Linked DNA regions of Mus musculus. The protein of the gene in region 1 interacts with the protein of each later gene in a pairwise test. Links are inferred from orthologs where the notes say so. Each region holds a gene or a part of one and is shown in the gene's direction. Other genes may lie near its edges. The genes, in order: Ergic3, Vamp5 and Apol8.

Region 1 (4,117 bases):
GAGTTCTACGTCAAGACCTTTAAGCTCAAGCATGGAGACTGAGCACAGCATGGTTGCTGGCTGCTCTTTCAGGGGACCCTGGTTCAGTTCCCAGCACACATTGGGTGACTCAGAACTGCCCATAAGTCCAGATTTCAGGGATCCAATGCCCCGTACTATCATCTGGTACACATAAACACATGTAGACACACATAAAAATAGTTAATAAATCTTCAAAACAGAAACCTCCCATGAGACGCTAAGAGGCTGAGGCAGGAGTCCAGGTGTTCCTGGTCAGCCAGAGCAGCAGAAAGACACTTTCTTAAAACAAAACTATTGAGCACTTTGTTTTAGTCTTTATAGCGGTATTAAGCTGTCTAGAGCTAATGGGTTACAACAGAAAGCAAATAAGGGTTTGTTTAATCTCCACTCCATAGCCTTGTCCTGGAGGGGTGGAATCAGCGAACGTCTTTATTTTATTTATTGACCCACACTGGGATTAGCACTTGGACGCTGTTTAAGAACCCAGGGTACTCTGAAGTCCAGAACTGGGTTCCACTATTGATCAGTTTAAGCTTGAAAAAAAAAGCAAAGTTAACACCCACTCTCTTTTAAAAATAACTTATAGATTATATTTACTTTTTTGTGAGTGTAGTCAAGGGCACGCCACGGCATTCATATGGAGGTCAGAGGACATTTTGCAAGAATCAGTTTTTTTCCACCATGTGGGTCCTGGGTATAGAACTCAGAATTGGCAGCAAATGCCTTCACCTTGCAAGCCAGTTAATACCCACTTCCCCCTGCAGAGATTCTCATGCCTTAACCGCATTGGAAACACCTTGGAGCCACTTTTGACTTTCTAATGAGGGAACCAATGATTTCCTTGGAACCGATTTCTTTCTTTCTTTTTTCTTTTGTAATTTTTCAAGCCAGGGTTTCTTTGCGTAACATCCCTGGCTGTCTTGGAACTCTCTTTGTAACCCAGGCTGAACTCGAACTCACAGACATCCGCTTGACTCTGTCTTCTGAGTGCTGGGATTAAAGAGTGCGCCCACCCCGGTTTGGAACCAATTCTAATTAACGCTGCGGTGGCTCTGGCGGGGTCAAGTTGGAAGCGCTGTCCTAAGAGATCCAAAGGTCCAAGGAGAGGCACTTACCACAGGTGCTGTCACTCCGCACCCAAGCACCGCCCTCTGTGCTCCCAGCCCGCCCCTCTCGGAGCACTGCCCAATCCGCGCGAGGAGGCGTGACAATGTCCACAAGCTAGACTGCCTTTGAGGAGGCAGGTGAGGGGGTGGAGCCCCACTTACGCACCGCTACGCCTGCGCAAGACAGCGAGGGGCGTGACCCCGGGTCCAGGCCGGAAGCGGGAGGCTGGAGGGGCGGGCCGGCTGGTGTCCCCTTTCCGGCCGGTCCCCATGGAGGCGCTGGGGAAGCTGAAGCAGTTCGATGCCTACCCTAAGACTCTGGAGGACTTCCGGGTCAAGACCTGCGGGGGTGCCACGGGTAGGTCTCGGCGCGGGCAGGGTTGCAAGGAGGGAGCTGTCCTCGCGTTCGGCCCGGGCTCCCGGACCCTCCGTGGCCTGCTAAGGGGCTGAGGGGTGGGATATAGGCCGTTCCAAATCTCGCTCTCGCCCTGCAGTGACCATCGTCAGTGGCCTTCTCATGCTCCTGCTTTTCCTATCGGAGTTGCAGTATTATCTCACTACGGAGGTGAGGGGCGTGGCCTAGAGCGTGGGCGGGGCCTGGCATTCTAAGGGCAGGACCCTTAAAGGTGGGAGAGGGGAGGAGAGGCGAGGAGAGGCATAGGGGCGAATCTGACTGAGGTAGACATGCTCTAGGTGCATCCTGAGCTCTACGTGGACAAGTCTCGGGGGGATAAACTGAAGATCAACATCGATGTTCTTTTCCCGCACATGCCTTGTGCCTGTGAGTACCCGATTGTGAGTGGGGAGTTGGACTCCTGGACGTAGGGTGGGCTTCCAGATTTACACCTCTGGCCTTAGATCCCAGAGTGAATGCCAGGCCATCCTCATTCCCCGAGTCCATTTCTTCCTCAAGATACATCTTTCCCATCAAAGCTCAGCTCTCCGGGTCCCTGGTGTCGTAGCGCCTTAGCTTGCCTCTCTGTTTCCAGACTTGAGCATCGATGCCATGGACGTGGCCGGGGAGCAGCAGCTGGATGTGGAACACAACCTGTTCAAGAAACGACTAGACAAGGATGGCGTCCCCGTGAGCTCAGAGGCTGAACGGCACGGTAACCAGGGGAGGGGGACAGGTCTCCGATCCTACAGCTGGACATGCCTGCCTTCCACACATGGGCCGTTGCAGGCTCAGTGACACCGTAGACAGAAGTCAGCTGGCTTGCTTAGGGTTCTACAACTATTAAAAATCAAGAGTCAGTTGAATCCATGCTTCTGGTATTGGAACATTGAGTAGAATACCTTAGGGGCTGGAGAGAGGGCCCAGTGGTTAAGAGCAAGACACTTTGCTCGGTTATCGTTTCTCAAGCTTGAACATGGGTCTTCCTTAGGTAAAGGAAGTTTGCTTGTCCACCTCATTGGCTAGAGTACTGTCCCCCGTTGCAGTGCGAGTATCCTAAGATTAAGAGCTTAAATTCTCGAGTAGAGTTGCCTGGGTTCGGATCTAGCATTGTCTTGCAGTTTGTGAGCATGATGCAGGGCTGGATGCAATACAGATGGGTCTCAGCTTACAACACTCTGACTTGGAGATGGTTTGAAAGCACGCCTGTACAACCATTCAGGTCTTCACTTTGCGTAGAGGACTCAGTCATTGGAGGTACTCGGTGCTTTGTTAGGAACTAGTCTTCATGTCAGATGGTTTGCCCAGCTGTTGGCTGGGTAAGTATTCTGAGAATGTTTAAGGCAGTATCAGTTAAGCTATAATGTTCTGTGTCTTAGATGTATTAAGTGCATTCTAAAATATGACATTTTACCATGGGAAACCTCATCCTGAGTTGGGGGAATCAGTAATATATAATCAGTACACAACCCATAAGTAATCTTTTTTTAAAGATTTTATTTATTGTTTTTTTGTTTGTTTGTTTGTTTGTTTGTTTGTATTTTCGAGACAGGGTTTTTCTGTGTAGCCCTGGCTGTCCTAGAACTCACTCTGTAGACCAGGCTGTTCTTGAAGGTTTTATTTATTGTTAAGTACACACTGTAGCTGTCTTCAGACACACCAGAAGAGGGCATCAGACCTCATTACAGATGGTTGTGAGCCACCATGTGGTTGCTGGGATTTGAACTCAGGACCTTTGGAAGAGCAGTTGGTGCTCTTAACCACTGAGCCATATCTCCAGCCCATAAGTAATCTTTCTAAAAGACCTGGTATAGAGTGTACACTTTGAGCAGTTTCCCTAAGTTGCTGTCTCTGTTACCCTCAGCCCATCTCACTGTGTAGAACTCACAGATCCTCTTGCCTCTGTCTCGCAAGTGCTAGGGTTAAAGGTATGGGCTACTATCCCAGTCTCAGAGTCTAAGGGGATGGAACAGGGCAACAGGAACTTGCCTGTACCAACTGACTCTTAGTGTTTACTGCTGTTTTCTGATACTGAGTATATGTAATGGCCTTAACACCTGACCATCATGTATGTGGCTGGTTTTCCCCAGCCCAGGGACTTATGTGGGAGGGAGCTGTGGCCGTGGATGTCACTGTGTCTGCTTCATGCTGTGCTTTTGCCCCTGCCCTGCCCAGAGCTTGGGAAAGTCGAGGTGACAGTGTTTGACCCCAACTCCTTGGACCCCAATCGCTGTGAGAGCTGCTACGGCGCTGAGTCAGAAGACATCAAGTGAGCCACGCCACAGGGCATGGGGAGTGAGACCTGAGATGGTAGAGGCATTATATTCCTCACTATTCATCCTGATGCAAGTGATAACAGTTAGCCAGCAGGCCCGCTGGCAACTGCACACCTAGGGGGCCTGCTCTTCAGCCTAGAGAACCAGCTGCCAGGCGTCCAGTCCTTGTCTTCAATCTGAGCCACATTGCTTCTCTATGTAGGGATAATAACACCCTCCTTGCCAAAGTTAAGTGTATGTTATATGTAAAGCCCTGACGTACAGGGCCAAAGCTACATTATTACACCTCCACTATGTGCCAACCACTGTGCGACTTCACA
Region 2 (4,117 bases), on another chromosome or scaffold:
CTTCGATTAAGCACATAAAACAGCACCACTTAATATATTCCTCCGTGAGCTTTTTGTGGAATTCAGAGCACAGCGTATCCTTTACAAGTCTTCAGGCTTTCTGCACCTTTTGCACAGTTCTTTACAAACAACCTCATTTTAACCTTGAAGTTGGCCTGAGGCTGGGACGGGCCAATGAGATTAAGGAAAGGACTTCTCAGTTCCCAGTTCTGCAAGAAAAGCCGCAGTTTCCTCGGCATCTCTCTTCGTCAAGAACTCCATCTTCCTCACCTGTTAGAGGACCATCCCGCAAGGCCCACACCAGGAATCTAAGAGAAAGTGTGTGTTCTCAGGCTGGGCAACACCTGTTTGTTTTCCTTGCAGCAGCTTGCAACTCTGTCCTAAACTCATGCTGTGAAACTCTTCAAGACAGTCTGTGTAGTTTGTATTTTATTCTTATCCAAAAGAGATGGTCTCTGCTTGAGTACCACTTTGGAAGCTGGCTCCCATCTTCTCCTTTGCCTCTTCTGCCTCTTGTTGGTTCAAAACTTGAGATCCATCCACACACCATTGAGACTTTTAGCTCACAGAAATGTCTGCAACACTTTAGCATTTTAAAAATCTTCCTCCCCCAATGTATGGAGATCAGAGGCCAACTTGCAGGAGTTGGTTCTTTCCACAACGCGAGTCCATTTTTTAAAAAGATTTATTTATTTATTATATGTAAGTACACTGTAGCTGTCTTCAGACACTCCAGAAGAGGGCGTCAGATCTTGTTACAGATGGTTGTGAGCCACCATGTGGTTGCTGGGATTTGAACTCCGGACCTTCGGAAGAGCAGTCGGGTGCTCTTACCCACTGAGCCATCTCACCAGCCCTAGCTTACCATTTTTAAGGGTATAACTCGGTGACATACAATGTATTCAGAATACTGCCTGTTCCGTCTGTAAATAATCAGAACTTTGGAGTGGTTGGTGTGTTTTTAATTTCGGGTGAGACGCACTCACCAAGGTGGCAAATACTTCTGGCTTGTTCATGTCAGCTCCAGCACATAGCTCCCACAGATGCTTTTTGCATGACGGAATGACGCCTCCTGGGCTAACTCCTGATGCAGCCCCAGATCCAAGAGACATCGGTCCCCAATTCACCAGGCTGGGGTGTCATCGGAAATCGGACGCCTGTGGCCCGGTAGGAGGCGCCCCACGGGTCCTGTCACCGCTTTCGGTTTGCCCGGGACGGGCACCTCTGAGAAGGCGCGCCCCCCTCCCTCTTGGGCTGCGGGCCCGCCCCGCCCCACGGCTTCCTCCCGGGCCGCGGGCACTGAGGCCGCTCGGGGCAGAGGAATCGGAGCCGGCGAGCAGGCAGCGGCGGCGGCTGCGGAGGCAATGGTGAGACGGGCAGGGGCAGAGGGCGATTGTGCAGGGGCAAAAAGCAGGATTCTGAACCCCAGGGGCATAGGTCACGCTGGTCGCACGGACTAGTCCCCAACTTTGCAGGCAACCGGGGAGGGAGACTTCGGAGTGCGCCCCGTCGGGGCAGAGTGAGCGGTGCTACAGCTTCCCACGCTCCTGGAGCAGTTATCAGCTCCCGGCAATACCGGGCAAGTTACTTAACCTCCACGAGCCTCCTTTTCCGCGCAGTGAAGTAGGGGCAGCAATACTTACCTTGGTGGGTCCTTGAGAGGTTAAAGAAGATGTTTATGGTCGCTGCTGCCAGGCACTCAGAACCCTTTGCTGAGAAGTGGTAGGTAATGCGATGACCTCTCCAGCTCTTCCCCAGGCTAAGAGGAGCCAGAGCTGGCCCAAGGGTTGGAAACCTGAGCAGATGCCTGGTAGAGGCCCCGTGCTGACGTGCTGACAGATAAACACTTCCCTGGGGGAAAAGAGAAAATAAGTTGTTTACTATAAAAGTTCCATGAAGTTATCCCTGTGACCCAGCCTGCTGACTCTTTCCTAACCTCTACCTAGTAACATAATCATGAGTTGAGTCACCTACATTCACTCCTGCTGCAGACTTGCCATTTCCAAGACAAAAGTGTCAGGGACCACTGATGCCTGGATCCCACCTTCCAGGGCTCCTGGGAAGGTGGCCAGACTGGAAGCAAGTTTAGTACTCTAAGATGGGATGGATGTGGCCTGGCTAGGGGTGGCAATGCCTGGATGGCCTCATCTCTAGGGAACTGGAGGCAGGAAAGGGAAGTGTGGCAGGAAGGTAGCCCTAAGCTTTGAGGCCACACCAGGAAACCGAGGGAGGCTCTGAGAATGGGCTGGAGCTGAGAGCCCACTTCCGAGAGTACAGGGCAGAGATGGTCTTTCAACTGGCTCTCAGCTCTTGAGGAGAAGTTCTGAAAAGAAGGCTGCGCCAGGTTAGGTTATCTGGCTGTTCAGGAGAACCTTGGGGGTTCAGAGTCTGGGGGATGCATTAATTTTATCCCTTCAGCCTGTCTCCAGCTCCATCATCTATCTCTTCTTCCCTTGTCCCCCTTTCTGTCTCCAGCTCTTTCCTCCTGCATCCCATCCCTCTGACTACCATATATACCCCCACCCCCAACTGATTTCCCTTTCCTTTCCCTTTTCTTCACTGGGACTCATTCAGTCAAAATGATTTAAGAAAAAAATTCTTTTTTGCCATTGGAATAGCACAAAACAGTGATGGAGGAGATGAAAATGAGAGATGGAAATGAGCAATATTTTTTTGCATGTGTGGTATGCACGCTTGTTCACGTGTCTGGGCACATGCCTGTTTAGATACATGTGGAAGTCAGAGGCTGATGTCAGGTGTCTTATTAAACAGCTTTCCACTTTATTTTTGGAGACGGGATCTCTGGTTCAACCTGGAGCTCACCAGTTTGTCTCGTCTAGCTGCCAGCTTGTCCTTGGGACCGGCCCCTTCTTCCTGCCCCTAGGATTACAGGCAGACTGCCTGGCTTTTATGTGGGTGCTAGGGAGTCAGACTCTGGTCCCCAAACTTGTGCAACAGGGGATTTATTTATGGAGGCATCTTCCTAGCACCATAGATCATTTTAAAAGATTTTATTCATGTGTATGAATTTTCCCCTGCATGTATGTGTGCGGGGTACCATGTGTGTGCAGTGCCTGTGGAGGCCAGAAGAGGGAATTTCACCTTGTACTGGAATTTTAGGCACCCGTGAGCCGCCAAGTGGGTGCTAGGAACCCAGATCTTCTAGAAAAGCAGCAAGTGCTCTTAAATGCTGAGCCACCTCTCCAGCCCCACCATAAATAACTAAAAATTATTTAGCCTGCTTGTTTGGTTTTGGGGGACAAGGTCTCATGTAGATCAGATTGATGCAGAACTCACGATGTCGCTGAGCCACAGTGCCTGAATGGAGTTAACTATTTTTTTGAGGCAGTCTTGCTATATACCCTGCCCTTAAATGACCTAAGTAAACAAAGCTGGCCTTGAAGTTGCAGCAATGCTCCTGCCTCTGCCTCCCAAGTGCTAGGATTACAAGTATTTGACACCATGTCCAGATATAGAATAAATTTTTTTAGACAAGGTCCGACTAGATACTATATAGACGTGATTGGCCTCGAACTCTGCCTACTGAGTACTGGGATTAGGTAGGTTCATAGGCCTATGCTCAGCCTAAAATAATCCTCAGAATCATTTGTCTGGCAGAACTTGTGCTTGTAGTCACGGGCCTTTCTCCTTTGAACACAAGCAGAGTTGGCATCCAGTGGCTAGTACTCTTTAGCCAGTCATCAGGGGCACCAGACCTCACACTTTCTGTGCGTCTGGTTTAGCACAGGGATTAGACATGTGGAATCTCTGTCCATTCTACCCTCAGGTTGGTTACCTACTTACTCTAGACAAGGACAATAATACTATCTTCAGTGGGTTATTGTAAAGGTTTAGCCAGATACCCACATGCACAGCTAGCTCAGTGCTGGGTCAGGTTCCTGTGACCACGGAAAGGTAGCAGCTGTTACTATTGATCAACACTTAAGGCCTGTAGTCCCAACACTTGTGGGCAGAGGCAGGAGGACCCCCAAGTCCCCGGCCAGGCTGTACAATTTAATGGGAGTCTGTTTCATGTTTGTTTGTTTGTTTGTTTGTTTGTTTGTTTATTTAGGTTTTTCGAAACAGGGTTTCTCTGTATAGCCCTGGCTGTCCTGGA
Region 3 (2,637 bases), on another chromosome or scaffold:
TAGGTCATTAGCCAAAACGGAAGCCAGCCACCTGGTGTCAACCGGCATGGCCAAAGTGAAGATGGTTGCAGACGCTGTGGTTCATTCAGGACCCCAGGTCTTGTCCTTATCTGAGAATTGCTGCCGTGTCCTACGGTGCATTGAGCAGAGCATCTATGCCATCAAGCTCACCAAAGCCAACCCTGCCTTAGCAGCTAGTGCCATGGGGAGCACCTCTGCCCAAAGTGGTAAGCACGTGAAGAAGGCCTTTAAAGGCACTGCCCTGGCAATAAGCAGAAGAGCCCGGATCATGGGTATAGCCACCGCAGGTGTGTCCCTCGTTGGGGATGTGATCAGCCTTGTGAAACAGTCCAAGAATTTGCACAAGGGCACAAAAGCAAAGTCTGCCGAGGAGTTGAGGCAGCAGGCTCGGGAGCTGGAGGAGAAACTGGAGGCGCTCATCCAGATGTATGAAGGTTTGCAGGCAGGCTCAAGGCGGTAACATGCTTCCTCCCCCAGAGCAGTGCAGAAGACGGGGAGGTGTTCTGGATCTAGAGACTGAAGCATTTTTGTGAGAGGGAATCAGACCCATGAAGTTCAGGACTTAGACATTTGTTCTTTTCAAAACACTTTGTTGTGGTTTTGTTTATATGTGTGTGTGTGTATCTGAGAATGTGGGTGTAGGTACCCTCCAAGGCCAGAAGAGGGCATCAGGTCTCCCAGAGCTGGAGTTACAGGAGGTTGTGAACTGCTTGATGTAGATACTGGGAATTGAACTCATATCCTCAGCAGGACAGCCAGTACTCTTAACTGCTTAGCCACCTTTCCAGCCAGCGTTCGACATTTTCTCTAGCTGAGCATTGTAAGATCAGTGCCGGTAGCTAAGGGAGTGAAGGGAAAAGAATGGGAGCCCGAAACAAGAGACCAGAGGGGACTAGAGAGTGCGGGGCTGGGAGGGAACAGTCAGTTTTGGAGTAAAGAGCTTTGGAGGTTTGAATAAAGAGAGCTGTGTCTGAGCAAGCAAGGAAAAAAGCAGCGAATCTGACACACTGGGAATGGGAGAAAGCCAGAGGAAGAATCCTGGATGTGGAAGAGCCACTGTGACTTCCTCGGATGACCGTGGTGGTGGTGACAGGTGGAGGTGACAGCAGAGTGGGCACGGCAGTTGTCAAGGGGCCAGGGTGCCTTTGAGGACCAGTGGAATTCCATTGACACTCTCTAGGGTGTGCTGGGGTGGAGATTGATTTAGGGATGGGGAGTGGCCCAGATTGGACTGACAGGTCAAGAGACTTTGTGCTGTACTGAGGGCAACCAGCCTGTGGTCAAGAGACATACCTTCTCAGAGACACAGCTTCCTCATGAGTTGGGGGGGGATGGGGGGGGATGATGGACAAGACCACCTCTCTGCTTATCTTCCTCTTCCATCTCATGTTCTATATAGACTTTAGCTCAATGAATATGAGCCAATTAGTCTAGGAAAACGGGGCATCCCAGAGTGAAGGTCCCAAAGTCATAGGTAAGGAAAACAACACGTTAGAGCACGTTTCAGGATGTGAGATAGGAGAGCATCCGCCCTCCTCCTAACCACCCTAACTGCTAGACCCACAGCCCCTTCCCATGAGGCAGTGTGCTCAGTCCAAGGGCAGAGCACAGCCTTGTAGGAGGCACAGAGGTTCTTCTGCTCACAGATAAGCACCAGGGGACCCAGGAAGGTTAGCAACAGGGTTGATCCTTCAAAGGAAGGGATGTATAGCCTGTTATCTGCCCAGAAGACTGGGAGCAGACATGGTTAATAGTTTGGTGACCTTTGTGCTATTTTGTGTCCAAGACCACACCGGATCTTCCCTCTAGATCCTTACTGTGAACTTGTCTATCTACAGAACCCATCGTTATGAAAGATGTCACGTATACAGAAAGAGTTTGACGTAATCATGTCTTAAGCTTTATTGTGCACACAGGAATGAGTTAATTATCACCACGAAAGTGTTCACCAGCTTGCGGCGTGCTTCAATATGTCTAAAATAAACTACTTGGGGCCAGACTCCGACAGTTTGAACCAACACTGGCTACTTAGTTGTATTGAATCAAATTACCTTTCTTGCCTCTTGTAGATTGTTACTCTTCCTGTCATGGTGGCCACAGGGATCCCTGCACAGCTTGTCCCACAAGGCAGCACTCTGTCCTCAGGCTGGCTTGTTCCAGCTTACCCATGCTGAATCCTCTCCTGGCCATTTCAGTAGAGTCCCATGTGGTTACTTCCAGGGTTGAGAGTCATTAAAAGGCAAGGATCCAGCCTTGGGGCATGGATCATATGTGGATAAGCATGGCCTCTCTCCCTGCCCCCTGGTTCTGAAGCATCTTGGAAACACCAGGCTGCTGGGGAGGGCAGAGGCCTGGTGGCCACAAAGCCATGTTCTTCCATTGAGTATAGCGTTTCTTAGGGTTGGGCATGGAAGCACATACCTGTAGCCCCAGCACTTGGTAGGCAGAGGCAGGCAGATCTCTGAGTTGTGATGATGGGGTCATGACAGAGCTGCTCCACCCCTCCTCTCTCTCCAGGCTGTGGCTTCCCTGTGGCTTGATGTTACTAAGGAAGGTTGGCCATATGTTTCTATGTAAAGACAGATGAGATGCTTCCTCAAACATCCCTATCCTGGT

The links.
Region 2: the proteins of Ergic3 (region 1) and Vamp5 interact in binary tests that used the Homo sapiens proteins (3 or more experiments, as listed by UniProt). The link is inferred for Mus musculus from reciprocal best matches to the Homo sapiens genes ERGIC3 and VAMP5.
Region 3: the proteins of Ergic3 (region 1) and Apol8 interact in binary tests that used the Homo sapiens proteins (3 or more experiments, as listed by UniProt). The link is inferred for Mus musculus from reciprocal best matches to the Homo sapiens genes ERGIC3 and APOL2.

Annotation. Positions count from the first base shown.
Region 1 is NC_000068.7:156,006,744-156,010,860, forward strand, and holds the start of Ergic3 (endoplasmic reticulum-Golgi intermediate compartment protein 3), read left to right. Parts: upstream 1-1,284; 5' UTR 1,285-1,397; coding exon 1,398-1,485; intron 1,486-1,621; coding exon 1,622-1,692; intron 1,693-1,820; coding exon 1,821-1,908; intron 1,909-2,116; coding exon 2,117-2,236; intron 2,237-3,696; coding exon 3,697-3,790; intron 3,791-4,117. UniProt on the Homo sapiens protein: Possible role in transport between endoplasmic reticulum and Golgi. Positively regulates trafficking of the secretory proteins SERPINA1/alpha1-antitrypsin and HP/haptoglobin.
Region 2 is NC_000072.6:72,377,631-72,381,747, reverse strand, and holds the start of Vamp5 (vesicle-associated membrane protein 5), read left to right. Parts: upstream 1-1,279; 5' UTR 1,280-1,364; coding exon 1,365-1,367; intron 1,368-1,643; exon of another isoform or gene 1,644-1,851; intron 1,852-1,974; exon of another isoform or gene 1,975-2,467; intron 2,468-4,117. UniProt on the Homo sapiens protein: May participate in trafficking events that are associated with myogenesis, such as myoblast fusion and/or GLUT4 trafficking.
Region 3 is NC_000081.6:77,747,199-77,749,835, reverse strand, and holds the end of Apol8 (apolipoprotein L2), read left to right. Parts: coding exon 1-481; 3' UTR 482-2,037; downstream 2,038-2,637.